Drosophila melanogaster: one gene and its partner. The protein of the gene in region 2 purifies or fractionates together with the protein of the main gene of each other region. This does not show direct contact. Each region holds a gene or a part of one and is shown on either strand. Other genes may lie near its edges.

Evidence for each region.
Region 1: the proteins of Gp93 (region 2) and CNPYb purify together in Drosophila melanogaster (affinity purification with western blotting; one study listed by BioGRID). This does not show direct contact.

The regions. Positions count from the first base shown.
Region 1 is NT_037436.4:19,083,786-19,098,037, forward strand, and holds CNPYb (canopy b), read right to left. Parts: upstream 12,433-14,252; 5' UTR 12,358-12,432; coding exon 11,692-12,357; 3' UTR 11,105-11,691; downstream 1-11,104. Other genes in the region: Mkp3 (Mitogen-activated protein kinase phosphatase 3), read right to left, coding at 1,536-1,938; MESR6 (misexpression suppressor of ras 6), read left to right, coding at 9,025-9,535, 9,614-9,655, 9,878-10,779; Naxd (NAD(P)HX dehydratase), read right to left, coding at 12,867-13,442, 13,521-13,847.
Region 2 is NT_033777.3:27,942,419-27,958,775, reverse strand, and holds Gp93 (glycoprotein 93), read right to left. Parts: upstream 10,066-16,357; 5' UTR 9,915-10,065; coding exon 9,875-9,914; intron 9,793-9,874; coding exon 9,703-9,792; intron 9,606-9,702; coding exon 9,523-9,605; intron 9,435-9,522; coding exon 8,182-9,434; intron 7,849-8,181; coding exon 6,951-7,848; 3' UTR 6,625-6,950; downstream 1-6,624. Other genes in the region: CG42487 (uncharacterized protein), read left to right, coding at 1-588; CG4884 (uncharacterized protein), read left to right, coding at 677-969, 1,032-1,104, 1,157-1,360; Nep7 (neprilysin 7), read right to left, coding at 1,538-2,545, 2,610-3,755; CG4951 (uncharacterized protein), read left to right, coding at 4,724-4,774, 4,830-5,278, 5,435-5,632, 5,691-5,783, 5,852-6,019, 6,094-6,301, 6,362-6,535; mfrn (mitoferrin), read left to right, coding at 11,466-11,582, 13,436-13,524, 13,575-13,699, 13,762-13,997, 14,062-14,223, 14,384-14,794; BOD1 (biorientation defective 1), read right to left, coding at 16,058-16,191.

The DNA of each region.
Region 1 (14,252 bases), on a different chromosome or scaffold from region 2:
GGAAATTGAAGTGATAAAAATAAAAACGAAGCCATAGTCAGTCGTCAGATAATTATGTATATATTTCGACTATGTGCACAGGCATATAGGGCAGCACATACATAAATAAGCATATGTATAGCATATATAGTATATATGACAATTTATGTGGCTTTGAGTCATGGGAGTCGAGCCTCGGAGTCGCTGAAAAGCAATTGTGACATTTTTCTGAATGACACAAATCTATACGGGAGCACAAAGAAAATGTGTAGCCAACAATAGTGGAAAGACCTCAAAAGCATCGACAGCAGTGATGTTTATTTATGACTTCCTTAATCTCCGAACGTGTTTGTAAAATACCAAACGATTTTGAAAACACATTTATATTTAAATCGCTCCTTAATTGATATGGGCCAATCAAGGAGGGGCATAGTGTTTCAGAATAAAGTGCATAATTGGAAGGGCATGCGGGGTGGTATAACTACATATACATATATATCCGCCGATATGGTTGGATTGATATTTTGCGCAAGTTTTAATATAGCTTACATGCAATTGTGATAAGGAAACAAAAGACACAGCATATATAAACTAACAAATTCCTGCCATTATAATTTTCTATCAAAGTCAAACAAAATCGTGTCAACCAAAAACAAGTTCAGAAAGGTGAAATCTATGCAGTGTATGTCTATAATCAGAATGCGAGAGGAGGAGGACAGGATCAGTCAGACTAAATATAATTCTAATCTGGCGCTAGCTTTATCAGCTGTGCGGATTACATTATATTTTGCTAGTTTTTTTTTTTGCATTTGTCATTTTGTCTCCGCCCCCAGAATGCTTGCCTTGTTTCGCCAAAACGAAAAAAAAAAAAAACAATAACAAATCCATGCAAATGTTTATTTATGGCCAGGCAGTGCTTGCTTGTATTATTAATATTCTTTCGGCTGTTTTGTTTTGTTTTGGTTTCTTCCTTGGGGGTTTCGGGCTAAAAATGCCGCAAACAACATTGGGGAAGTATAAATAAGTTATGATATTCTTAGGCCTAGGATAGGAATGTGCGGCATTGATTTATGGGCGGTGTTGGGAAGTATCAGGCATTTAAAGAATCCGATAGCACAGCTATGATCAACAAATGGAGAGTTCCGTTCTCGATACAGGTGCGTAGTAAACTAACAAAAAATTCCATTCGTAATATTGATTCATTGCATTCCAAGAATATCACAATGTAAATCTTAATATTACTACTTTAGTTATTACATTCTAATCAAACGAGATTAAGGGGGGAAATTTTGGATGAAATTTTTCGGTTTTCTACTATGTTTATAATGATTTACTTAGTCATTTCTATTACTGAAGCTTTAATATTTCAAATATGTACATATTCTATGAAATCAACATGGATAGTATTCATATTTATAAGATTAATTACGTGAGTTTAAATGTGGGAATTGAGAGGTATATATAAACCTTAGTTGGTTTTAGTAACTCCCGCACTTGTATTATGATATTGTAGTTCTATTTTTTGGGGCACCCAAAGTATTGAACTTATGACTCACCTTGTAAAGCAACTACGCGGCAGCCGTCCTGCTTGAGGCGACGGTGCAGGATGCTGATGATGGAGTCCATGGCGACGGCCAGGGATCCGGCTCCGGCGATCTCCTGATTCTGGCCGGGCACGCCTTCGCCGTTGTAGAGGATGAACCAGCATAGCTTGTAGCCCGACTGGATGCGTTGCTTCAGCTCGGGCGACTTGATCGTGGAGGCCAGATCGATTTTGCCAACCGCCAGACGACGGAGGACGATGCTGGGTATGCATAGGTTGACGGCTCCGCGGATGTGCGACTCACTGTACTCGTGCGAGCCGCGGCAGTCCAACAGGATCAGGTCCTTGGAGTCCAGGGATCGCAACTGGGACTGCAGCCACTCCTTGCTGCAGGTCTCGTGCTCCGTTTCTGGCATTTTGAAGAGCTCCCAAAAAATCACTCAAAGACTGGAAGAATTCGAAGCACTGCCACTATTTTTCCCGTTTAGCTCTGTTCTCTGCTTCACTCGTTTTTTATGTTATTCTTTTTTCTTTTGGTTACAACAAAGTTTACATCATCTTTCTTCTTCTGCTTCGCGCTGGTTCTCTTCTTCTTTCTTGGCCGTGCAATGGTATTTGTTGCTGTTACACACACACACACTCCCGCGCAGATGAAAATCTTGGAAATCAAAAAGGAATTTTTGTTTTTATCTCGTTTGGGGAAATCTGTAACTTGCACTGTTTTGTTTTTTTTGTTTCTTGGCTTTCCGATTTCCTCGCTTGCCGATTTATGTTTCTTTGCACACCGAAATTCGTTGCTTTTTGCTTTTTGTTGTATGTACACACGCACACAAGAGCGCGCCAAATCACAACCGTGTGTATGTTTCGCGTGTGTGTGAGTGGTTTTGTATTTTTTAGGTGTGCTTCGCTAAAACAACAACAACAGTTCGGAATCGAATGAAAAAACGTGCGGTGAACCTGTCATCGAGTAACTAAAACATCCAAAAACCGTTGAATATTTCCCAAACAAATAGGTAATTACTTCTATCAAATATCCATATTTTGAGTTGATGTTTTTTTCGAATGGAAAGCGAGCACACACAAGCAGCGCGGGTAAAAGATAATCGGGCAATAACAAAATAAGCGCGTCGTGGGTTGCTTAAATAGCCTCGTTGCTCTCCAAAAATACGAACACAGTTGCACTTGCTCTCCGACTCTCCAATTCTCTCCGTCGGAATTCGAAGAGCGAAACCCAATAACAATATTGTATTTGTTAGGCGCAGTATTAAGAAATAACTTATAAAATATTGAATCTTTTTGCCTTCTCGTTTAAAAAAATACATTTGGGAATTACTATTTCGAAACAAACAGTCCGTTACACGCAATGAAAGGAAGAACGCACCCGCGCACACAGGTACGCGAACCGGAGAGAAGAGCAACTCTCCAAAAGGTGAGCAAGAGCCAGTGCACAGGCACAGACCCACTTGGAAATTTGCTCGGTTAAAAAAGGAGAAAAAATGGGGAAAAAAGTAAATACAAAGAGAGTTCCTGAATAAAATTTAGATAAAGTAAAGACTTTGTTTTAATTCTATAAATTACATAAAATTTTTTAAATATATTAAATAATCATATTTTCCCGTATGTTAAATAATTATTTCATAACTGGGTTCGTATTTCAAATTTCCCACCTGCCTTTCTCTCCCGCACTCTTTTGGCACTTTGACTATTTCTCCACGCTGCATACGCTCCCAAAGTTTTGTGTAAAGTTCATTGATATTTTTGTGCTGTGGTATGCGTGTGGCAAGTAAAATGCGTGTGTTCGTGTTGATTCATTGAATTCGCCATCCAAACTAGCTCTCTCTCACTCTCCCACTACTCCCACCACCACCCACCTTACCCTTCGCGATGGAACCTACTTTATTGTTACTCTCTTTTTGCGAGAGCGCGGTTAACATTTCACTTCACTAGAGTGCAAAAGTTAATGGACCACTAATTTAGACAGATAAGAAATTACGGAGCCCAGAAGAATCGGAATCATCAATGGAGTCGCTGTCTACTCTCTAACGAAAGCTCCTGCGCAAATGCTCCTCCAAGAGCCAGTTATATTGGAGACTCGATGAAATGTTTAATTTTATAACCATGACCCTGATATTTACACCCAAAAAGAAGAGACTCACACAAGGATATACGTGTGTACCCATACAGAAATCGCATGGAAGGACAATTTCAAGGATATGCGGCGCGTGCAAAAATTTCTCCACAAACAACAAACTTCCTGCTGCGCCTGCGTTGCACTAGCTTTACATAAAACGCACACCCATACACACCATATACCGTTAGGTAAGGCCCATCACAACGTGCTACTATATACAGATGTACGAACGAACGACTTTCGAGCACAATTTTCATGAATGAAAGTCCCACGCAGCAGCGAAAACCGTTGGAGCAATAAAGAAAGCCAAGCAGACAGAGAGGGAGACAGTCGGCGAGGGAAAGAAACGGCCATACGAAATCCATGCTCAGCCCACGCATTTCTCGCTGCTCACTTTCGTCTTGGCACGCGGCTCCTGAGATTCCAAGGGCGTTATTCCCCAGGACTTTACTCTGCTTTCGGCCCTGGCGCGTGGGAGGCCAGCCGGAATGTTGCAAGGGAGTGCACAGGGAAAAATTGAGCGGCTCTTTAATAAATTACATTTTCTTTCAGCAGTCTCAATACAAAGAAAACATGCGTACTTCAAAAGGATTTCTTTAATAATAAAAACACACACAAAAAATATATATATATATTTATATATAATACTAAGAAATATTTGTTATAATATGAAATCATTTAAGCATTTATTTATTTACGCTTCAGTAAACACAAAAGTGTAAACACACATATTACCATTAATTTTTGTATTCATCGAAAGTTGTACATAATTACTGTCAGTGTATCACTCAAGTATGAAGAAATTAGAAGTAAGCACCTGGATAGCTGTTTCAAAAGGCTGCTCAATTGCGCCTTCCAAGTGTCTTTGGTGGGCTGACCTTGGCGATACATATATGTATTTCTGACAGTGTAGAAGCCAAGGTCGGTCGTCCTCCGGGCTCCATTCTTCGATGACACAAGTTCAAAGTCTGCTCGCAGCCAAAATGGAATACCCAACCCACTTGTATAGCTCAATGAATCACTTTGGGGCATTATCTGTGTTTTAGCAGGAAACTGATGTCGAAAGTGAAGAATTCAATTAAATTTCTGCACCTCACGATTGTCAATCTAAATTGCGCAAGCTACGGCCTTTACCTTGATTATCAGACCCCACGTATAATCAATATGAAGATGATGACGCTTTCCCGAGTGTTTTTATATGGTGCGTGTATAGATCAGTCATAGCCATATCGGCTTGAATGAGTGAAAAGTTCTGAGAAATGGGGGAAATATGGATCATCGTGATTCGCAATGTGCGATACTACTTATATGAGCTTTGCAGGGTTTTATTCATTATCTGGTGTTATTTTTCCACTCATTGTTATCAAGAAAGACCATTAACTGCGTATACTTTCTAACAGATATTTCCCAGCAAGTTATTAGTTATCGCTGTGCTGAAACCTTTTCATAGTTACAAAACTCATATGAGTATAGGATAATTATTGCTACGAGATGAATATTGCCTTCTAATAATTTGGACGTTTATTAACTAGCTGAAGCAATATAATTATTTCTTAAATGCAGTTAGTTAGCTCAACGGCATTCTCCCACACTAGTTTTGCATTCTGCTTTACTGACCTAAAACAACTGGAATGGGATTAAGAATTGGCGCGTCCGCTTATCTGCCATTCATGTTTCCGTTTCGCCCGTTCTGAAATGTGTGTACTCACACTCGCATTCACACTCGCAATTGGGTTCTCGAATCCAGCCCACATCCATATATCCATGTCCAGCCCCCAGAGTTCCGTTCCGCGAGATCTCTGTGAATCACTCGCCCATATGAACAGCGGATGTCGGTGGGCGCCACGGGTCTCTAGAATCAACAATGGTCGATCAACAATCGTCGATCAATGTGCGTTTGACGTTTGACCAGAGCGAAGAGGCTGAAGTATCTCACAGATTCTCAATATCTCAATATATACATATGTTCCCAATCTCCATGATTCTGGGCACTCCGATGACGTCGTTCCAGACAAGTGTTGGTTCAAATTGGTAGCCAAAAACGGTGATAAAAAATTAAATTATCATTTAATAATAGCTTTGATTAAAACAGACATTAATAAATGAACACGAATTTAACAAGTTATGACAAAATATAAATATAAGTTAACATTTCTGCAACAATGCAATTAAAGTTTTTCGTTTTACAATACTATTTGATAATTATAATTATATATCAAATAGCATGCATAGATTGACAAGAAATCCAAGATTCATCCCATATACGAACTGATATCCCTCCTCATCTGAAGATAAGTAATTCGTCATTGTAGAATGTGAATCCTCTTGGGAAGTATCTGTTTCCAGTGCTAAAAAATGTCTAAAAAATCAGATCTGCACCGGACGCTAAAAAAGAAGAAAGGATGACGAGTCGGGACGGCAGATGTGAAAGAATCTGTTGGCTTTGAGCGCCCACGCGAGCAAAAGTTACGATTGATACGAAACAAACGGCGACCTGACCAAACGACTTACCTATTCACCGAATTAGAATGCGAATGACGTTGGTTGTACTCACTTTTGGGATTGGTTTTGTCGGGCCCACTGACTCATTTCACTTTGGCCACTTCACTCAAGGTGGCTTAAACAGCAGCCGGTGCCACGTGTTCCTTCCAAAGGGGAAAGTTATAAAATAAAATAAAATTCACAGGGCTACAGGGAAATGGGGCACCTACGCCAGACTCAAAATCCTGTTGACGTCATTCGGGGGCTGCTCAATGAATTTTCTGCACTTTCTTTACCGGCTTACTGATTGCAAAAGTTGTAAATAACATTGTTCATCACTTAGTCAAGATCATGTGTTTGAAGACATCACGTGGGAAAGAACTACGATTTAGTATGAATAAGTACTAAGTAAGTAAAAATATTTTAAATATTAATTACTTTACGGTTAAGATTGTTAACACTAAAAGAATGAAAATATTGCATAAAAGCTTTCTAAGATTGTATTAAAGTTTAAAGCTTATGTGCTTCAATTGTGATTATAAGCGAAAGATTAAAGATTATAAATTCTTTAACGTTGTTTAAAAGTTGTTGTGGAGAAGAAAGATTTTTTTTTAATATTGAAATATCTCAATGTTCATCTGATTACTGTATTTTTGAGTGGCAATCTAAAAGTAATATCTAGAATCTCAATCAATCTGTATCTTTTTTTGATGTTTACTTTATAGGATTTCATTTTAAAGTAGAGCAATCAAGAGTAGAAATTCCTGCCACCCCCCTCCTCCTTTTTTTGCCATCGTCATCGTGGTTGTCATCGCCCATCCGTGCCATCCTTCCCCAATTGATTCGTCGGAGGGGCCAACGAAGGTTAATGCGAGCCAGTGTTTGACCTCCAGGGTCAAGCTGAAGGCAAATTAATTGCGAGAATTGGGTGCGACAGCTAGAGAAAGCGCAGAGCTGCTGTAATTGATACAAGAACAAAAACGAGAAGCCAAATTGCAGCCAATTGATCGAGTTAAGGGGCCGATGCTCTCGAAGTTGGCACTTCCGTTGCGTTATAAGGGCTGGGGAAAGCCCCCCAATCAAAAACAATTTCTCTCAGTGTGCCAGCGAGCTCGATAATTAGGCGGTCAACATAAGTAACATGGAGATATAGATCTTTCATGGAATCTTCGTCCTTGATTACTGCTCTAAAACCTATAATTGAGCATAATATTTTGGTCAGCAAATCAACTTATACTGGTAACAATTTGATAAGAAAATGTGTGAATTTTTAAGTACTATTTATTACTAGTTTCTAGTGATGCAGTTGTAGTTGTACGGCAATGAAATGAAAAACTTCAACGAGAGCAGACTTCAATCCTAAACGGATTAATTAAGATATCGTGGTAGTAAAGATTTTACATGGCAACGTGGTACTCGGCGTAATGGACGCCACCGAGGGTGTTTCGGCCCACGCGAAAACTTGGCCAAAAATAAAATGTAAACGGTAATAAAAGAAGAGTGTCGCCTATGTATGTACAGGGACACCCACAAAAGTCTATATACAGTTATATTTTTTGATAACGCTCGACGGCGGAAACATTGCACGCCAACGCCCGAGCAGCGCTGTCGGCGCTTTTCCAGACAACCGAGCCGCGCCATTCATTTCCACCAGCTGCAAAGGGCGAAAAAGACGAACGCAGATACTAGCGCTCAGATACAGATACAAAGTCGAACTCGCAGATACACAGACACACACACACACAGCGGCAGTGTTTTACGCATTCCAATCAGCCATGTGGGCGTCCGATTCCCTCCGCTGCAAATGCAAATGTATATATATACACATAGATATACAAATATATACCTACTACATATGTACAGATATAATAAAAACTTATGAATGAAAAGCTTCTGCGCAGCGTGGGCGGAACGCTGGGCCAGCTTTTTGGGGGCTAAAAGCTCCAGAGGCCGCTCAGCACCCCCCGACCCCCGCCCCCCATCACTCGCTCGATGGCAATCGCATTATGCCAGCGTCCAAGCTGCGGATACACACGGAATATTGATTGGAGGCAAAGTCTCCAAATCTGAAGTAACCTTGAAATGTGGGTGGCCGGTGGGCCGAAGGTTGAGGATAAAAGGGTCTTGTGGGGGGGGGGGGCGAGTTGCTGGAGGGGAGTGTGAGACATTTGGATTGCGGATGGCAAAGAGCTCGTGTGCTGGCTGAGCTTATAAAGTGCTGTTTAATTAATGAACACTGCTGTTCGAAAAATTGTTTCAAGAACTTGCAAATTGAAATTCAAATCTTTCCTTGGTTGCACGAGAGTCGCAAGAAGAAGGTTACTCCCTAGTGTCTCGACTATGAGATACTCTCTCCTTACTTCTTATTTTCGTTTACCACTATCAAAGTGATATGAATATAGAAATAGGTGTACTATTTTGATAATATTAAAATATTTTTTTTTTTAGTTTTTAATAAATTTTGTTATTTTTAACATTTTTAACATTTTCTAGATTCTACATTCTAGATTCTAGATTTCAAAGCGAATGCTTTAAAAAATCAAATTTATTTTAAGTTATATCAAAAAATACTCAACGTCTCAAGTAATTGACAAAATAAGGTACAATATATGGAAAATGTGTAGAAAAAACTTTTAAATTAAACGGACACAACTTTAATCGATACATCGATAGTTGGGTCCTATGTAATGTGACCTTATTATAGGGCTACCATTTTTAGCAATACGGGAAACTTGTGCTAGACAGCAATCTGGTCACACTGCCAAACAGCTGTTAATGGTCAAAGACCCCCAAAATATTAAATACAAAAGAAATTAAGTCTGCTTACCGTGCAAGTAATTGAACAGTGTGCTAAGGACCCAGTTGTACAGTCAAAGTAATCCCGAGGGAAATGGAATCGGATACGCTGGACCAGGAGAGTGCCGCGGCTGCTCTAAAAAAACTATCGCCAAGTGAAAGTCCCGAAAGTTCGAAGAAATGGGAGCCGACTTCGGGAGAGTGGGTTGCGGCGGGTGGGGGAGAAGAGGCGCCGCCAACAAAGAGACAAAAGACTGCAGACGAAAAGGAGGAGAATCGGGAGGAAGACGAGGATAGCGAGGAGAGCGTTGATGAGGAGGAGGATGATGGCGAGGGCATCGTCCAGATTGGCGGCACCATCAGCCCAAGGCATTTCCAGCGCATCCCCGTCTTTATCGTCGACTACCACAACGATGTGCTGGAGTTCATCTACCGCTGCTTTGCCACCCGCCACCTTCCGCTGCAGAACAACACCCTTGTCCACTTCGACTCGCATCCGGATCTGGTCATTCCACGGCACATTGCCGCCAGTTCCACCTACCAAAAGGAAACCATGTTAAATGAGCTTAGCATCGAGAACTGGATCATGCCCACACTTTATGCAGGTGAGGATTTCTATGGGGAATCGAAGAGAACTATATTATATAGAAATATAATATTAAATGCTATTATTTTATTTCTAGAAATAGAAAACAATGTAAAAGGACAAATAAAAAAGTTCTATGGTCTAATTTTACTAAGAACTTAATATTTAAAGATTATCTCTTAGTAACTGCTAAATATCCATTGAGTACTGTTGTCAAAAAGATTCCTTTCTACATTTAAAGGATTTCAAACCAAAAACTTATTAACTGTGATGAGTCTAATGACATTAATTAGCTATAATTGCATTTTCTTATAGAAATTAGTGTAAAATAATAACTTATTGCTATATTACTTGCTCTTAGGACATTTCAACCGCGTCGTGTGGCTGAAGAACTCATGGTGCCAGCAGCTGCCCACTGGCAGGCACGACTTTAAGGTTGGACAAAAGGACGATCGCATTGGAGTGGACTGTCCGTTGGACTACTTTATTGCCGACGGCAACTACTGCACTACGGAGGATCTGCAGGATGCCAAGAGCGTGGAGCTGCAGGTTCACGATGCAGACAACGAAAGCCTCAATCCGAACGAATTCCTAACGGAGAAGGACGCCAAGGGATTCGTGCTGGACATAGACCTCGACTTTTTCAGCACCTCCAACCCCTTCTTGGAAATATACAAGGATGCCGATTGCTACAATCAGCTAAAGGAGATCTTCCACTTCGAAAGCGTGGAGAAGGTGAAGAAGTCGGGCACGGCTACTATAGCAGATTATTTGGCCACGGCAGAGAGGCGACAGACTCAGTTGGATGCACTGAAGACGATTTTCTGGCATCTGGAGGAGGAGCGCAATTTCGAGGGACTGGAAAAGCCGGACGAGACCGTGGTCACGCCCGAAGTGTACGCCAAGATTGTGAAACTGGCCGATCAGCTGCAGGAGAAATATCCAGACGATGAAATCGACTGGCATTTGATCTTCGATTCGGGCAGCACCACCGATAATAATGGCTTGCCCCACCACATCAGCATCGCCGAAGAGTTGGAAACGTACTTTGCAAACTTCAAGCGTTTCTTACAGCGCCTGCCAGTTCCTCCAGTGGCCATTACAATGGCCCATTCCGCTCAAGATGACTACTGCCCCCAGGATCAGGTGGCATTCATTGAGGAATGCGTTCTACGCCTGCTTAAGGAGGTTTTTGGCGAAAGACTGCACGACAAAGCCATCCTGCACTATATGGACGATCCTTGGGATGTGATGAAGCTCTAAGCTTATGGATAACTAGGGGTTCTTTCGCCCGCCACTGCGAATTAGATTCTGAATTTACAAAACTCGTTTGGGCGGGAAAACTCCACGACTAAAAGATACCCGTAGTGATTTCGAATTAGAACCTAATGATGGAAAATCCAATACTAATTATAATAATATTTTTTACTTTGAAATATACGCGAAGTATTTATTACAGACAATTAAACAAACTCATTTAATGCAAATTGGGTATATTCAAAATAATTTGTTTTTAAACTTTGAAAGGTTTCGCGACGAGATACCTTTTAAACGACATATTAGGTGCCCCAGTAAAATCAAAATGTGTATGCACAGATAATCTATATTTAATCGTAAATACTAAATGTTAGTTATAAAATGTACATGTATTTAAGGATAACTCTCTTCCATTCAGTGCCGTAGGTTCCTAGAAAATGCGCAAAATCTCATTTATTGACATGGACATGGCATGAACACCTGAATTTCTGGCTGGGGGTTATGACTGGCCACCTCATTGAGGGCAGTCAACTTTTAATTGTCGACCCCAATTCGTGGCCGAAATCAATAAGCCAATGGCCCCAGGCGAAACTTTCAGTAGCATTCTGTGGCTCAGTCGTTGTGGAAGTTATACAGATTAGCTTGAGAGACATAGTGAGTTCACTTAAGCTAATTAAACACTTTTCGCTTTGTTCTATAGGTGGTAAAACTTAAAATGATTTCCATTTCGAAAAAAAGTAAGATCATTGGAATTTAAGTAACTACTACATTTAGTTTGTCAATGCTTGAGTTCATTCAAAAACTAAAATTTGTGTTACTTTTAAAAATTGCATCGACAACAGCTGCACTACATCTACATTTTTCGACATGGAATTACAATATGGTAGGGATTCCTAGGATATACTTGGATTATTTGGCTCACAGCTCCTCCTTGTCGCCCTTGGCTTTTTCCCTTTTGGCCTTTTTAGCCTCCGGAGGAGCAAGCTGCTCCTTGAGGCATTCCCTTTCGGCCTTTTTCTTGAGCACATGGTCCTCGCAGAGATGCTTCTTCAGTGACTTCTCATCCTGGTGCTTAAAGTACCATTCGCTGATGGTTTCCTCGTACTCCTCCAGTAGGTTTTCGCACTGGGTCTTCATTTGGGTGACCTCCACCGGGGGCTTGTCCCACAGCTCGTAGGGTATTCCCAGATCCACCTTGACGCCCTTGTCCACAAGGCCATGGAGCGTCTGGAAGGTCTGGGACATACCTTTGGCGAATCTCGTGCTGTCAGAGCGTTCCTTGTGCAGATTGTACTCCAACACTCGCTCGCACACGTTCTCCAGGGACTCGAGCAGTCGCAGTTCGCTGCGCCGGTATTCAGTGCGCTTCTTGGGCTTCACATCGTCAACGGAGTATCCGATTTCGATGACGTCGTGCGACTTGCCGGTCTCTCCAAGTCGAGCTTCCAATTCGGTGGCCAGGATTTTGCAGGCTTCGCAGCGGTTTGCGTAGCGAACGCCTTGCTCCTCCTCGGGCGAATCAGCTCCGGCTAACTGCAGGACGACCCAGAGTGTTACAAAGCCAGGCAGTCTTTTGAGGAGCATTTTCACTGCTTGATAAATTCCAAAAAAACAATAATAAACCTGACGTGGAAATGCCGCTCGCGAGAAGACCAGTGCTGCAAAACACCAACAACCGAACGGAACCGACGACTTAGCTTTTTCCCGCCAATACCTTTAAAATAATCTATATCAAATCTATTTTCTTTTTTATGATTTATTATCCTACATACATTTAAAAAAAACTTTTATTTTATTTTATTTGTTTATTAAAACAGAAGTCATGCTTAAACGGTTTATTAAAATTGAATCAATATGGTTTTATTATGAATGCCGAAACATTTTATCTGTAACAAGATGCAGCTTTCAAATTAACGAACCAGATGTTCTTACGTTGTTTAAATGCAATTAAAAAATTCCCATAACATTTCTATCCATTCCAATATGTTCTCTGTTAAAGACATTAAAAATCCCACGATAATTGAAAATTCGGTTAATGGTCGCCTTGTTTTAAAAAACAAACAGCTGGAATTAGTTCAAAGTCCAGTAAATGACTATTGAGGATCGCTGTTTTCGAACTCGGTCTGAAATACGCTGGGTATTTGATTGACCATGTCACTGGCCAGTAGGCTGCGGCCAAACTTTTGAAATGCAGCCGCGTTTAACTTTTTCACAAAGTAACTAGAGGCACATGCAGCTACCAGGGCGGGATTGGGTTCACCCGACTGCAGTGACCACGAGAAGAAGGTGGCCAAAGATCCGGAGAGCAGGTCACCTTGTCCACCGCACCTGCGACCGGAACCGCCGCTAGGCATTGAGTGAACTTCGTTGCAGTGAGGGAGATAGATCTTGTCGTTGGCGCCCTTCTCCAGGACAGTTACTCCGGCTCCCAGGAGGGACATTTTCTGGCGCGCCGCCTGGTCATCCTCGCCAAACAGTCTCTGGAACTCCATGACATTTGGCGTGAGTATGACATTCGGCTGTCCACAGATCAGATTCAGATTGTCGTTGAGCAGAAACAGTCCATCGGCGTCTATGACAACTGGTTTCTTGGTGTCCATGCACAGCTTGAGTACGTTGGATGCCGTCTTCAGGATGCCCGGCTCCCGACCCAGTCCAGGTCCAATAACCTTAACGATTCTAAATTTAGCATTTAATTGTATAAATGTAGCATATACGTATGTAGGTGGGGGGGGGGGGCTACTCACAACGACGTGAAGTCGCTCTAACCAGGGCGCTATTCTCTCCACTGCATCCACACAGTCTAGCACTGGATGCACGATAAGATCGGGACTGTAGGACTTGATAATGGCCGACGCATTTGAATGGCAGAACACATGCGCCAGGTCAGCGCCCACTCTTATCGAGGAAATGGCCGCGAAGTACGGCGCTCCGGTGTACTCCAGGGACCCACCGATCACTCCAATGCGTCCGTACTGTCCCTTGTGCTTGTTGTTCACCAGCTTGGGCACCACCGTCTTGAACAGAGCCAGCAGCTTGGGCAGGTGCACTGGAATATCCGAAACTGCAGCCATCTCTACCGGCGGCAATGGTTTTCTTTGTGGACTGTGCCCGCTGTTTACTATTGCTGTGACTAGTGATGCACATTGTGGTCGGGATTTCCTATCGGTTGCTGCTATCACTGTGAGAAATACTTTGTTCCCACGGAAGCCGTATTATCAGTAGTTAAAGCTATAGAAAATGAAAACATGGAAAAATGTGAGTTAGCTAATTATTCTAAAATAGATTTTTTTTAGTATTTTACTATCATATTTTTGTATTATTTCTTAATTAATTCAAAAACTATTCAATTCTTTAAGTACTCTTCACATTGTATAGTTACACTATACATTCTATACACATCACTTTCAACTCTTTTGCTTATCAATCAAAATTCCCTGCGTTATCGACCAGTAATCGACTTTGAAATTCACTTTCAA
Region 2 (16,357 bases):
ATTTACGCGCAGCCCAAACTGGAGGAGCTTACCCAGGAAATCTTTGGCGTTAGAGCGCTTTCCTTGGCCTTGCCATTAGATTTGAAAGCAATAAGCGAGGACTTGGAACAGTGGATTACTGCCCGAAAGAGAACACCTACACCTGCTAAGAAGATAGCCCCGAAAACGCACAAAAAACCCAAGAAGAAACCCGAAATAATCAAACCAGCCGAAGAGGAAAAAAAACCGCAGCTCCCAGTGGCTGAAAAGAAGGATTGGGGTGATGATTTCATATCCTGCTTCTCGGACGAACCCTCAGTAAAGTTGGACCGCGTGGATGTCCAGGTGGAGACCCAAAAACTGGGCAATGCCCTCAGTAATTTGGCAATGAAAGCCAAAAGTAAAAAGCCGGTAGTAGAAGTCAAAAATAACCCTGTTAAAAAAGAGAAGTCCCCCAGCCCAGAGCCCATGGAGGTGGAGCCACATGATGATGATGATTTCCTGCCCGCAGATCTGCACAACTATCGCCCCCTTACTGTCTACCAAGTGCGTCCTAATCCCGACAAGAAACCCAAAAAGAAACGAAACAAAAAGGCAAACAAGTCCTAGAGATGGTTGGCAACGCCACCGCAACAGCTGTAGTTTTTAGGTTATGTTATTCAGTTTGTTATCGTAATTGTTAAGGCGCCCACACAAAATGCTCCGGACTTTTCGTCAAATAGCCCGACTAGGAAGATCCCTAAGGACGCCATTTCCATCTAAAAGTCTGCCTAAACTCTCAACCACCTTAGAGCTGCAGGCTCCTGTACACACCAGTGCTTCAGCGTGGAAGTACGACAAGAAATCCTCACGAGCATCGGATGACTTGGACAGCGACGACGAGGATGATGAGGATTTCAAGGACGAAAGGGACTCCAAGGTGGTCAAGACCAAGGTGAACTCACTGCGCGCCGATCTCCTACTGAAAGCTGGCCTGGGCATGGCGAGAAAGTAAGAAACAGCCGAAGGTTTTCTAAATGCCCCCAATAACCATGATGTCTTACCTCCCACAGCAAAGTGGAACTGAATTTCTACGAGAGCAAGATACGCGTCAATGGAAAGAAGCTGCCCAAAAAGAGTGCCCAGGTATGGAGTCCATATATAGATCGAATTCAATCTTATGATTTACCATTTACAGCTGGAAGTCGGCGATGAAATCGACGTAATCCGAGGCTTTAGTCAATCGAATCCTTCCCATCTGGTCGTGGCCCGCGTCTCAATCCTCTCCGTCAGCGAGCGCGAGGAAGGACTCAGCGTCCACCTGAGGCGCTACAAATCCCTGCTGGTCGAGAATTACCGGGGACCCAACGCCTTCAAATCCTCAGAGCACGTTGCTCATTAAAACCAATTAGAAATAAAGAGACTATTAAGAGTAAATGGGTAAAGTCGAGTGAGTTAACTCAATTGCAGAAATGTGTAAGACTATATCGTCGATTTGCATTATTTTTCCTGTTTTCATTTATTTTGTAGTTGAACATCTAGAGTATTTTACATCTTTTCCTTTATATACGACTTATGGTCACCACATCCGACAACTCTCAGCCTTCGGATGCATTGGACTGCCCAGTGGGCACTTGTAGACCTCAGCAAAATCGTCGTTGTTGGAAACGGCACCCAGCACCCGATACTTATCGACGGTATGTGCGCCAGTGAGCTCCTCCCAGTAGTGCTCCGGCTCGTAGTCGGCGCACCACAGCTGCGCGAATCCCACGAAGAAGAGCTGCTCCGGCGACAGGTCGAGGCCGGGCATCTGCTCGTTTTTGTGAGCCAACGTCTCCCCATCCGCTCCACTTCGTTGCAGCTGCTTCATGTGGTTTCGATAGCCGGTGAGTGCGGCCCTCAAGCCACCGGCGTCCGCTATGTTCTCGTCCCTTGTCTCATTGCCGCGAATTGTCTGGTTGATTTCCGGTATCAAGTATTGGTTGAAGTAATCCACATAGCACTGCGCCCGTTCCTGGAATACCGCCTCCGACTTCCTGGACCACCAGTCGCGTACTTCGCCGGCGCTGTCGAAACTGGAGCCCTCCGTATCGAAGCCGTGGGTCAACTCGTGACCTATCAGATAGCCAATGGTGCCGAACTTCAAGGAATCGGGCCATGAACGGTGGTACGCAGGCGGATGCAGTACTCCCGCCATCACGTACACCGAGTTATCCAGATTGTAGTAGAAGGCGTTCACCTGCATTCCCACGAGCAGTGTCAGTGGCTTTGTGTCCTTGGGCAGCTCGTCCGCATGTAAGCCAGCGTAGCGATGAAGATAGGTGCCCAATACTCGCAGATTGATCAAACTCTGGGCATAGCTGCCTTCAACAATGGTCAGATTGTTGATCTCGCGGATTAGAGTGTCCGACAGCTCTTCGTTTTTGTAACTGCCGATTACTGGCGTGATGCCGGCCTCCTTGCTCAGAGCCTCTGCTCGCGTCTCCGCGTCCAACCACTCCACACTCTCGAGGATCTGTCGCTGGGCCTTTCGCATTTCGGTCACCATGTCAGAGATCTCCGAGTGCTTCTCGTCGGTGAAGTGCTCCTATGAAAGTTAGTTGATATCAATTGAAAAGCTAAGCTTCACATATTCACAGCATCCAACTCACCGCCATGTAGAGCCTGTTGAACAGATTTGGCAGCGTCATCTGGACGATCATCAAGCAGTTAACCTTTTGGTCCTCCGGCTGCTTGGGCTCCTTCAGCTTGTCGTCCATGCGGTAGAGAAACCGCATGGCTAGATAATTGGCCACCGCCTCCGTATGCTTGGCGCACACCTTGTCGAGCTCCACATAGTAAAAGTCGCAGAATTCGCCACCGGACGAGCCGTTGTAAAAGTCTATACCATTCCAGGCTATCTCGTAGTAGCTCCTCCACTGACCAAATCGCGGCACCTCCTCAATCTCACTGAGCAAATCGCACTTATCCCTATCGCTCTCGAACTTATCCTCAATACTGAGCGCCTCGCTCCAAAAAGCAAAGACGCCTTCGATCACGGCAGAGATTTCATCCTTCGTGAGATTGTATTCCTTCAGGTAGCCACGCATGCGATGCTCGTTGAGCTGGTAGGCCCGCGAGCTCGTATTGGCAACGTGAGCGGTGTGGACGACATGGTCAAAGCCCAGTTCGGGTAGCTTGAAGTACGGATTGAAGGGATGCTGCGGCAGAATTTCTTCGTGGATCAAACTGCGAACGCCGTAGTTGCTGAGATGGGCGCTCATGTTGAACCAACTGAAGCTGGAGGCGTTCCAGGCGTCTCTGTCGACGGCGGGAAAACCACCCAGCGACCTGATAACCGATAGATAAGCGGGATCGGCAGCGGGCCGCGGAAAGAGCTCGGCCGCCAGGCAGGAATTGTAGAAGCGTTGTGCAACGAGCAGCTCGGCGGACACGTTCAGTGCCTCCGCCAACTTTGTCCTGGTCAGCAGCTGCTCCGTCACGTCCATCAGTGTGTAGCTGATGTCCAGAATATTGCTCCGCCTATGGGGCGATTGCCGCGGCGTTTTCACGTTCTTCCAGTTGCCGCACGCGAACTCGTAGAAGTCGTCGCACGGATCGACGCTGAAGTTCATATAGGACTTCATCATGGCGCCATGGGATCGCAGGTAGTCGGCCGTCTCATCCGTAATCGCGTTCTCATGGGACTCGTCGCCAATACTCCTGGCCTCGCAGTCATTCAAAATCACGCAGATCAGGATGCAAACTGCCAGCCGCGTGTATAGGGGCAGTCGAAAGTAGCTCGAGATTGAGAGCATATTGGTCCGATTCGCAGGGCACACACGCAGTTTGTATAATATAATAAAGTAGTGCGGCCAGTGATCGATCGACCCGGATTATTTGAAAAACCCAACAAGCTCGACTACCTAATCCGGAACGCGATTGAGAACTGAGCAAGCAGCAGCATCTCTCCGATCCCATCGGCGTGTGCTTTTTTTTCGCAATCATGTTGACCAGCAGCACTGGACAACAGAGATTATAATGAATTATATTACTATGACGTCGTTCCGCACACTTTCACCATCTTTGGTGCGCATTCTAAGCCACTGCTTTGAATAATAAGGAGGAGGTCATGGGCATCCAAGCTATCTCTCTAGCCAACTTAGTTTTTAGGTAACCACTTTCGCAGAATGGGAACGATTTTGCTGCACTGTGTAGTCCGGCTGTTCTCTTGGCGAGACTTGACCTAAGCCACACGCTTCTGTTGATAAGGATTTGTAAGTTCTGGGAGATTCATTGATAGCGCCCCTCATTCATTCAGAGTAAAAACAATTCTCAGTTTTGGTTTCAAAATCTCATCGTCACTTGTGTCACACGATTGCACATTGTGAACACGTTCTGAACTTTTGTCCTAATTAACACTTAACACTTTTTTATCTTTGTTGTTTTTTTTTATAAATAAATGCATATATCAGGTGGATTCTTAATATGTTCATTATGCATAATTACTATTTTTATACTTTCTATAGAGATCTCTGTGGTAAAACGTAAAAGTATTTCTTGTCACGTTCCAAAAAAACATTTTGCAGTTTTCTCCAGATAATGAATATTTATGAATTGAATTCAGCTTAAGTTGATACTTTTTTGCCGCCCAAACGTCGATAAAAAAATACAATCGATAGACCACCAAAGCGCTCGTAGTGTGCCCAAAGATCCGCCCCGAATTGTTGTTGCTGTGCCTGTCAGCGGCTACGGTCACATCAGGACGCATAGCAATTTTATAAAAATGTCATTTTCCGCCATCGGTGATTGCCAACTAATTTCGCAATTATACCAGGTAAAAGCCACTGAGATGTGTGATCCGCCATGTCCTAAAGCAGCTCCCATTTCAGTACAAGAAGCACCGCGTCATCTGCAGCGTCAAAGTTCTGCCGACACCTGTGACCCATTTTGAGCGGGAATCCAAGAATGATTTCCATTGGATGACCGCGGATCGGTGGAGCCGGATTGAGTGTGGTCTATGGCGCCTGTTCGAGAACCTGAAGCAGTGGCAGGATGCCTACCAACTGGACACCGAGCTCATTATCGATCACATCATCGTGCGCGTCCAGGCGACCAATAAGTCGCATCCTGCAACGGTCGCTCTTCTGGCCGGTACGGAGTCCAGCTCCAAGGATCTCTGCCTGGACCTACAGCTGCAGTACATAACACAAGAGGACACCACCATTGTGGACGTCATTCCCGCCAAGCGCGAGCTTGCCACGGAAGCAGAAACAAATGGCACCAGACCCACATCCCGCAAGATCCGCGTAGCAAACTCAGGATCCAAGCCAAAAGCGGGGTAGGAAACCCTATTAATTAGTCCCAAATACTCCATAGGCTTGGATTGTGTGGTTTTTGATCCCAATAGCTATGAACCACCTTTGCACCTTTCACATTTTATGTACCGAAGTTGAATGCATTTTAATGTTTTCTCCACTGCATGTTTCCCCTCCAGCACACAATCGAAGCCCAAGCACATTGACGCCGACAACGAGGATGACAAGAGCTCCACCACGGCCAGCCAACCAACCAAGATCAAGAGCGAGCGCAGGTCCATTTCCCAAGGAGGCGAAAAGGATAAGGCTTCTTCCAGCAGCCCCAGTTCCTCGCAGCAGAGCAACCGCATTAAGCGATCGCACAGTCCATCACAGCAGTGAGTTAGGCGAAGGCTAGGATGTGAGAGAACTAAGAGCCTATTGATCTATTCGCAGGAATTCCAGATCCAGCTCCGTTGAGGCCAAGCCTGCACGCCGCTCCGGCCGATCGCCCATACGCCCGAGTCGATTCAAAAACTTCGTAGTTGGGTAAGCCATAGAAATATGGTGCTATAGCGATCAGTTTCATTCATCATTTCCCTGGCTGCCATTTTCAGCGAGACCAGGAGCGGCAAGAGCAGAGGACCCAAGCCCAAAGTGAAACGAGTATCGCCAGTGCCGGCCAAAGATTTCAAGGTGGAACACATGGACGGAGGGCGGTTCAATGCATTGCAGCGGCTGGACAGCATGCTGGACACGCCCAAGCCGCGCGAGGTTAAGATTTTGTAAGTGACTCGACTAGATGCAAATAAAGCGAACACGAATGTGCCTTCAACTTGCGTTCTTTTGATTGGCTCAGACTCTTGGAAAAAATGGGCGAGGACGAGGTGCTGAATACGTTCGAAAACTATCGCAGCGACTTCGATAAGCTGTTCAAGGAGCGCGAGTTCAAGCCGCGCACCAGTCACTACATGAACATTGCCCACATGGACGTCATCGACATACTGAGCAAGAGCATTCACCAGCAGATGCTCAAGAAACTGGGCGAGGTCTACAGCAGTCGAAGCGTAAGTTTGGGGCGTCCTGGAGTGACACACATATCCATCCTAACATGTCCCGATTACCAGAACCACACGTCGCTGCTGGTGAACGGACTGCTCCCGCTGTGGATAGTGCGCCTCTTTATGGACACATACACGCTGTCCCAATCGGAGGCCGTGCAGCAGATCCGCGACCAGATGAAGTACAACACCTACTTGAGGGCCCTGAACGATGAGCCGCTGAGTTCCGATCTTGACTGATCGAGCAATCAATTCACTTTTTAACTATTTTTTGGTATCCGATTGCGGAAATTTTACATTGCGCGCCATATTAAATAGGCAGTTGTTTTAGTTTTAAATTCATTTGTCTTTATTTGTTTTGATTGGAATCTGTTGTGTACTAAGCATATTACATTGTATAAATACATAATTCACTTGCTTTCGAAAAAAGAAAACGCTTGAGCAACCAAGTGTGCTGGCTGAAATGGTGGAGTGCTCTCTGGGCGACTGGCGGTGATGACGGCGTGGGCGAAGGACTACGAAATTATTTTACTTAGAATCTAGCGTGTAATGTTGATGGAGTGCCCGCCCGGCCACCCGGTGGCGGTTTAAAACTCAGTCTGAACTTCACACTCTTATGTACAATCTATTTGGACAGTGGGTGAGGTGAAGTAGTTTACAGCTCGTCGTGCTGCTGCTCCTCCTCCTCATCATCGGCGTTGCCGCTCTCCTGGCTGCCGGTGGCGGTCTCCTCGGCATCATCCTCCTCCTCCTCGTCGAACTCCACCTGCTCGTCTTGGGAGACACCCAAGGTCTGGCGCATCATCTGCTCAATACTGTCGGCGAACTGCGAAGTCTCCTGGAGCATGTATCCAGACCGCAGGGTGGCGGTGCGGAACATCATCACAGCCATGTCCTTGGCGGTGTCATCGGCCTCGTCGGCCTCCACGCGGCGCAGCAGCTCGCGCATCAGCGGATGCCTGGGATTGATCTCGAGCGTTTTCTTCTGGTTGAGGTAGTAGGTGCGCTGAGGATCGTCGGACTTCTGGTGGGCGTTGGACATGGCCAGACGCTCCATGTTGCCGGTCCAGCCGAAGACGCCGGCCACGAGGGCGCATGGCGAGTTGCTCAGACGCTCGGAAACCTGGGCCTTGGAGATCTGATCCTTGAGTGCCACATCGTTCAGCCACTTGACCAGCGGCTCGAAGGTGCTCTTTAGCGACTCGAAGTTCTTCTTGCTCTTCTCGGACTCGTTCAGCTGGAATCCCTCCTTGGCCACGTTCTGGAACTTCTTGCCATCGAACTCGGGCAGCGCGGAGATGCAGTACTCGTCGACGGCCTCCACCAGATACAGCACCTCGTATCCCTTGCTCAGCAGACGCTCGACGAACGGCGACTTCTCGACCTCAGCGCGGTTGGCACCAGCGATGTAGTAGATGTGCTCCTGCTTGGCCTTCATGCGCTCCTTGTACTCCGCCAGCGAGGTGACGCCCTTGCCGTTGGAGGTCTGGAAGCGGAGCAGCTTGGCGAGACGCGATCGGTTGCTGGGATCCTCCATCACGCCCAATTTGATGCTGAAATGAGTCAATTAAGTCTTGATAAGCAACGAAAATCCAAGAATTCGAGGTTATAGCTAATGGAAATGCTTATTTAACTAAAATAAAATATTTAAGTATAAACTCTACACGTCACCAGTGCCAATATTATAATACTACGTGGATTTCCTTATCTTATCAGCGCGGAATTCTTTAAAGCAACAAACTAAATATATTAATTTGTTGGCAAAAAATAATACACGTCATTCTATTCTCCATATTATAATGGATTCTGCGGAAATGCTTATCATAAATAACTAATTATTTGAACAGGCAAAGAACGTTTCTTAATTCCTAGAAAGCGACACTTACTTGGTGGAGAACTCCTTCCAGAACTTCTCATACGCCTCCTTGTCGATCTTCTTCAGCATATCGAGAACCTTGCGGACCAGCTTCTTCTTGATCACCTTGATGAGCTTGTGCTGCTGCAGAGTTTCGCGGGAAACGTTCAGGGGCAGATCGTCGGAGTCGACGACGCCACGAATGAAGCTCAGGTAGTTGGGCATCATGTCGTTGAACTCGTCGGTGATGAAAACACGGCGCACGTACAGCTTAATGTTGTCGGACTTGGTGCCGTAGCGGTTGAAGGACTCCGATGGCTGCACCTTGGGCACGTAGAGCAAACTCTTGAAGGTCACCTCGCCCTCGGCGATGAAGTGCGTCTGGGTCAGGGGCTCGCTGGAGTCCTTGGTCAGGCTCTTGTAGAAGCTAGTGTACTCATCCTCGGTCACTTCGGCGGGCTTGCGCGTCCAGATGGGCTTGCTGTCGTTGATCAGGGTCCAGTCCCAGGTGGTCTTCGAAACCTTTTTGGTCTTGGGCTTCTCATCTTCGGCCTCCTCGACCTTGGCGTCCTCATCCTCCACGTCATCCTCGCTCTTCTCGGGCTTGGCCTCCTCCTCCACGGGCACCTCCTCCTCGACGGTCTTGCTGGACCACATGCGGATGGGGAAGTTGATGAACTGCGAGTACTTGCGGATGAGCTCGCGCACGGTGTCCTCCTCCAGGAAGTCCTGGGCTTCTTCCTTCAGATACAGCGAGATCACGGATCCTCGCTTCAGAGTATCGCCACGGGGATCCTCGGTGATGCTGAAGCTGTTGGCATCCGACTCCCAGATGTACTGTTTGTCGTCGTTGTGCTTGGTGGTCACCACTACACGATCGGCGACCAAGAAAGCGGAGTAAAAGCCCACACCGAACTGTCCAATCATGTCGTTCATATCGAGTCCCTCCGACTTGCTGGGATCCTGCATCTTGGCCAGAAAATCGGCAGTGCCGGACTTGGCAATTGTACCCAGGTTATTGATCAGATCCTGGTGAGTCATGCCGATACCCGAGTCCATGATGTGCAACGCCTTGTTCTCCTTGTCGGCCTTAATGCGGATGTGCAGCTCCGGATTCGTTTCCAGCTCCTTGCTGTTGGACAGAGCCAATAGGCGGATCTTGTCGATGGCATCGGAGGCGTTGGATATCAATTCACGCAGGAAGATCTCCTTGTTGCGGTAAAGCGAGTTGATAATCAGCTTCATCATGCGGTTGACCTCCGTTTGGAAAGTAAACTTCTTCGCCTGCACGCACAGACAAAAGACAAAGAAAAAAGGGAAAGGAAATCCCGGTCATACGTGTACCTTCCAAATGACCTGGCAATGAACCCACCTTCTCGCGAATTTCCTTCAGCTGCGCCACGTTCAGGCCGTCCAGCTGGATGGCCTCCTCCTCGCGCTTCAGGGTCTCGGCATCTGGGGGATTGGGAATTAGAAAAAGGGGGCGGTTATCGCAACGCTGACGTGTACCAAACAAAACTCGTCGTCGCGAGAGGGGGGCGTGTCTACGTACCGGTGCGGGAGCCCTCCTTGAAGGAGCCCAGATCAAGGTCGATGGTCTCCGTTGTGGCGGCCTCGTCATCGGCGGCTATTTGATTGATGCCTAATCAGACGCGAATCAGACGCCAATTAATAATTAGGTTAAAACACCGGTTCAATGCGGCGTGGCAAATGTGCACACTTACCTGCTAGGAGCAGCAGGCCCACCAGCAAAAAGTACTTCATGATCTTTGGTAGCTTGATTTACGGAGCTCGAGCTATCGGTTCGTCCGGCGAAAGGCCACGTCACGAATAACAGATGCAATAAATTAGTCCGCACTTGCGTCGCCTGCTTTGATTTTTTTTTACTGACGCCGACAAGCGGCTGGAAGGCCTTTAAATGCCTCGCAGAGTGACCGTATTCCGGCGCTGGAACATTCTAAGCGCATTGGAAGGAAATACCAGGGGCTGCACTGGAAATAGGATATATATACAGCACAGAGCACGAAAATAGTGTAATTTAAATAAATTTAATGTTTGCTTATTTGAAAGCCCATACATTCATAGAATCTATTTGGGATTTAGTTTACAAGAGGATGTAGTGTCAAAACTCTACTGTTAAATATATTTAATTTGATAATTTACATTCTTATATCAATAGTTTACAAAAGGGAACACTTAGGCCGGTAGATATATGATTTATATTTGAAACAAATTAGTATCTTTTCATGTATACAACAACTAAGCTTTAAAATAATAAATTCTTCGGTCGGTTGCACAACAACTTCGTGTATATACAATTTTTAAGCTGCCAAAATAGATAACTGAGAACTTATTGATATAGCAAAGTAATGATAAAAATATGAATTGAAATAAAATATAAATTCCTGACAGAGATCAAGGAAATCCATTTCGTTTTAGAATATATAACATATGATTTTGTACCGTTCGGTTTATTTTACAATGTTAAGTTAAATATTTTAATGTTGGTATTTTTATTTGCCATGGCGTTAAGGTTCCGCACCCACATGTGGGTGGACTTGTGCTGGTATTTTCACCCGAGCCATTTTGGTATTTTGCGACGTTCCCGCTGCGGTCACTCTGGGCACGAGGCTTGTTTATTGGGCGAAATTTAATGATTCGCTGTAATCATACAACATTTGCGTCAGTTGCCAAACACCGACCCAGCCAAAATTCCGCTTCGGCCACAAACCGACTCTTATATATTCATAAAACAACCGATCCGCAGCCGCCACTCCAGCAGCAGCAGCTTAGCCGCGAGCAACTAAACCAGAAATTGCTTCCTCGCGTGAATCGTTGAATCGGGGAATCGTCTCTATGTCGTCTGTATGCTAGTCGTGCAACAGCAGTGTCAATTAGCAGTTTCGCATAAGACCACCTCACGCGTACACTCTGCACCACCACCGCCACCGCCGCCGCCTCCGCCAGCAGCACCACCCCCCGAAATACACCCGCCCGTGCGTCCGTGAATCGTCGTGTTATCCGTGTTATACAACAAAATTGCACCAAAAGTGCCCGACATACGCCGGCCAAGAGTTGCCCGCTAACCAACGCCGATCCTCGACAGGCGGAGCGACCCGATCCCAGCGGAGAAAGCGGCTCTGCAGCAGCAACTGCAACAGCGACTTGGCAGAACTGGTCCGGATTAGCAGGTTGTCGTAAGAGGAGCAGCGACTGCAAGGGCGCAACCACAGCATTAGCACACAACACAGTCGATAGTGCAGCCCCACCAGCAGCCTCAACAATCGAAAGCGACGGCAACCGTTCGGATCCACCATGAACATCGACGACTACGAATCGCTGCCCACCACCAGTGTGGGTGTCAATATGACGGCGGGCGCAATTGCGGGCGTGCTGGAGCATGTGGTCATGTATCCGCTGGACTCCGTCAAGGTGAGAGAGACTGCATGGCCGCCTGGTAATCGGAGGAGCAGCGGCATGAACATAACACGACCTAACCTCACTATCAATCGGAATTTTGTGTGTGCCGCCGCTGCTTTGGCATAATCGTGATGTAATTGCCCACGTCTCGAGTGCAACCAAGAGTTGCGTTTCTCATTAAGAGCTCTGGGTGGTATAGCCACATATAGCCGCTCTGAACGCTTATCGTAGCACGTTCCATTGGTTTATGCTTCCGCGATAAGATTAGCCATAGTAATTGGACTAGCTCTTATCGGCGGAGCGTTCTCATCGTTCTTCTGAAAATTCGGTAGGGCCAACCAAGTGCACAAGTCCGCCACTTAAGCGTATGCAAATGCCCACCTCGTAATGACGTTCGCCGCAAGTATATACACATATGTATATGGTTATATGTAAATATGTACATATGTACACCACGCATTCAATACCTATTATTGACCGATTCTTGTTTCGTTGTATTTCACTCAGCTGGCTGGTGGCTCGAGCACTTATTGATTTTCGTGGCCACATGTGTCAATCGCGCAAGTGACAGCCGGCAGGCAGTTGGTTGCCAGTCTAAAGCCTGGTCGGTATTCCCGGCGTCATCGTTATAATCTAGATTCTGGACACAGTCCGTTTGACGAGCTAAAATTCGTGAAGTTTTAAAAGCCAGAGAGCGGAAAACCAAATTGGACACCAATTGAGGCCGCTTGCTTGCAATAATTACCTATCACCGGGTTCTCTTATCACGGCACACACACAATACACCATCGGGATGAATGAATCATGTTGGCTCCGCGATCTCTTCGAACGCAGCTCTATCGGGCTTTTATGCAATGGAAACTTCTATCAGTTCGTCGCAGAGAACCCTTTAATTAGATTTCCCCCACTCGAGGGGCTACTTTTCACCTTGGATGGCATTGTTGACTTGTTATTGATAGCAGCAGCCAGCCGGCAGATAGATAAATGCAGTTGGGCCGTGTTCCAGTGAATCTTATCTGCATCGCAAAGCCAAGGCCTTCGTAATTTACAATATGGATGCTGCTCTCTGCTCCCAGATATAATTCCGACTTGTGTGCTCGACAGGCACGCCTTTAAATAAGTACAATTAAGTATGAACAGATATATATATATATACATACATATATATATATATGTATGTGCATATGCAATCATTAAATACGTAGGCAAATGCAAATCTCTAGGCTCCGAGTGACTGGCTCGTAAATCAGCGAAAGTTTTGCCGGGAAGCATGCAATTATATATTTGTATATTCCACTGATATCAATTATTAGTCCCTGCTGTTGTTTACAGATTATATAGCCCTTATCTCGACAATTATGGGACGAACAAAATTCGAAAAACTTTCTTTTGATGAGATCTATGCATATTCTGAACAATTATTTCCCTTTTCGGCTGCCACATTGCACAATTAGATTCTCGCCGACAGCCAGATTGAAATAGTTTCGGAAATCATCACCCCATCAGTTCTGAATCACAAATCATGATGAGAGCACGTTCTAAGGTCTTGGCAATGTCAGTAAGCGAAATGAATATTGGATATCCCCCACAATTGTATTGGGCTCTGTATTGCATATCATGAGTAACCATGACTTGCAGAAGAAAAGCAACGAGCAACGAGTCTATACGGCTAACTACCCTCGACTTAATCTACCTTTTTTTTATGTATTATCATAGCCAAAGTTAGTAGCCCTGACGCACCACTTTAACCAGTTTAATCTAGGACAAACAATGAGTAAATAAAATAACAAGTACTGCCATTGTGAAATGCACAATGTAAATATATATGCAATTATTTTAAACGTTCCATTATTGCCCACTTATAGACGCGAATGCAGAGCCTTTCACCGCCCACAAAAAACATGAACATAGTGTCAACCCTTCGGACTATGATCACGCGTGAAGGCCTGTTAAGGTGAGTGCTATCCGCCATATCGAGTAATCACTGTAACCGCCGACTTGCAGACCCATTCGGGGAGCCAGCGCCGTGGTGCTGGGTGCTGGACCAGCACACTCGCTATACTTTGCCGCCTACGAGATGACCAAGGAGCTCACGGCCAAGTTCACATCGGTGAGAAACCTCAACTACGGTAAGGTTTTCATGTTCTCCTGCACCGAGGGATTACTAATCAAGCCCATTTGACCATTTCAGTGATTTCGGGAGCGGTGGCCACCCTCATACACGACGCCATTTCTAGTCCCACGGATGTGATCAAACAGCGTATGCAGATGTACAACTCGCCCTACACATCGGTGGTATCCTGCGTGCGGGATATCTACAAGAGGGAAGGCTTCAAGGCCTTCTACCGGGCATATGGCACGCAACTGGTCATGAATCTACCATATCAGACAATACATTTTACCACATACGAGTTTTTCCAGAACAAAGTAAGTACGCCCCAACGAACTCATCCTTTCAGTAACCGACACTCAATCTTCGTGTGCACGGCAGATGAATCTGGAACGCAAATACAATCCACCAGTGCATATGGCAGCGGGTGCAGCAGCCGGTGCGTGTGCGGCGGCTGTAACCACGCCCCTGGACGTGATCAAGACGCTACTAAATACTCAGGAGACAGGACTGACGCGCGGCATGATCGAGGCCAGTCGAAAGGTAAATATGGTGCTATCTGTACTGGAGAAACTGCTTACGAACTTGCAAATGTGTCTGTAATTCACAATTTATAATTGGCTGACAAAGGTCATAGTTCACAGTAGCTTCGTCTCGCGTTGAATGAAATCTCCCATACTTATTGCTCTTTGCCCTCTCACAGATCTACCACATGGCCGGTCCATTGGGCTTCTTTAGGGGCACGACCGCCCGCGTTCTGTACTCAATGCCCGCCACGGCCATCTGCTGGTCGACGTACGAGTTCTTCAAGTTCTACCTGTGCGGCCTGGACGCTGATCAGTACAAATCGTCAATTACGGGCAGCTCGGAGCCCCGCAAAGCGGACTACGTGCTGCCGAGGACTACGGATGAGGAGCAGATCGATCAGGAGCGCGAGGCGGCAAAGGAGAAGGACACCACGGCCACCCTGCACTCTGCCCCGACCTCGGTCAATGCCTCCGGTGCCATTAAGACGGTGTGCGAGCTGTCGACGCGGCCCGCCGGGCCAACAATCAATCTGCACACGCGGCACACGGACGTGAAGAGTCCCTACGAGCGGGGCTTCAGCACGTAGGCGTCGCCGGTGGGCGTGGCCGCGAGCGGGGCCGGCGTTCGAAACGTTTGCAGCAGCAGCGACAGCTAAACCTAAGCGTAGCTATTAGTTGGCGGTAGGAAATGGGATGATGGCTGGGGTGGATCCAGGGCAGGGGCCACCTGGGCAGGCGGGGACGACACGGTGTTCGAAATACCTGCCGTTCCGCCAAACCACCGCCTGGCCACTGCCCCACCACCGGCCCGCCCGGACCCAGCTGCTTGTATGAATACTCTGCGAGGAGTCGGTGAGAGAGTTTTATCACTCCATAGTCGGAGGTTAAATCGTAGTTGTTGTTCTGCACAAAACTCTCGCTCTCACACACAACACGCAAACACACACACACACACACCCTATACACACACAATATGACATTTTTAGGCAAAGTGCGAAATTCTTGTTAAAAGTATATGCTAATGATGATACTGTATCTATGTTACTTTGAAATGAGATAACCTTCTTGTAAAATACTATTACCTATGTATTACAACCTTTGATTTACAACAATTATATATATATTTTTTTTAAACAATTTTCAAATGATATACGCATATACATACATATATTTATGTTGATCGTTGTAAAGTAATCAAGAGCAAAAATGTAAAGCACACGCTCGCGCGGCAGAAGGAAAAATTCAATAATTTGTAATCAAATTACAGCCGAAATCTTCAAACTGAGATGTTACAAAATATAAGGAACAGCAGATACAGCAGAAAACAGCTCCCAGAGAACTACGTCTCCCCCAGACCTACAATGCCCCATAATCTACACCCGGTACTATAACTAACCAGCCCCATGTAGAGAGCCGTAGCCTAGCTATGTCCATTGTCCTTGCTCCACGCACTCGACTGTTTCGATCTATCATCACACATTATCCTCGTCTCAGTGCTAGAGTTCCACATCCTTGAGTAGCAGACGCAGTTGAGTGCCGGGGATCAAGGCTAGTGGATCGCCCAAAATATACAATAATGCATCATATTATTACGTTCACTGTTATTTTTGTTTATATATATGCATAATATATATGGATATGCTGCACCGGCGACTATTAAACTGTAAGGTGTAGCGCTAAATTACAATTTTATTGTTAAAGAATTCAAACGAAAAAAAAACAAGCGGAAGCAAAACCATTGGCAAGCGAAATGGCCCATTAAACGGATGAAAGAAACGAAGACTTGTTTTATGTCAAATGCATTAACAACAATTGCCTTTTATTGTTTCCGATAACAGGTTATCCGTTGGCTAGAGAATGGAGTCCAGGCCCCGGCGACGAGAGCGCTGCGACAGGATTGGACGGGGCTTGTAGAGATCATCGTTGGTGTACCGCTGCTGCTGGCAGAGCTTCTTGCTGAGTCGCCTGGCGGACAGGGCGTCTGCTGATAAAAACAAGCACTTTAGTCACACGCATTCACGGGAATCGCTCGAAGCATCAACAATCGGCGGGCAAAGGACAGAGAATCGCGCGGGAACCGCTTACCCAGCTCCATTGCGGTTTGGTTAGGACTACTAGTGGTGGCTTCATACAGCTACATATTATGTATA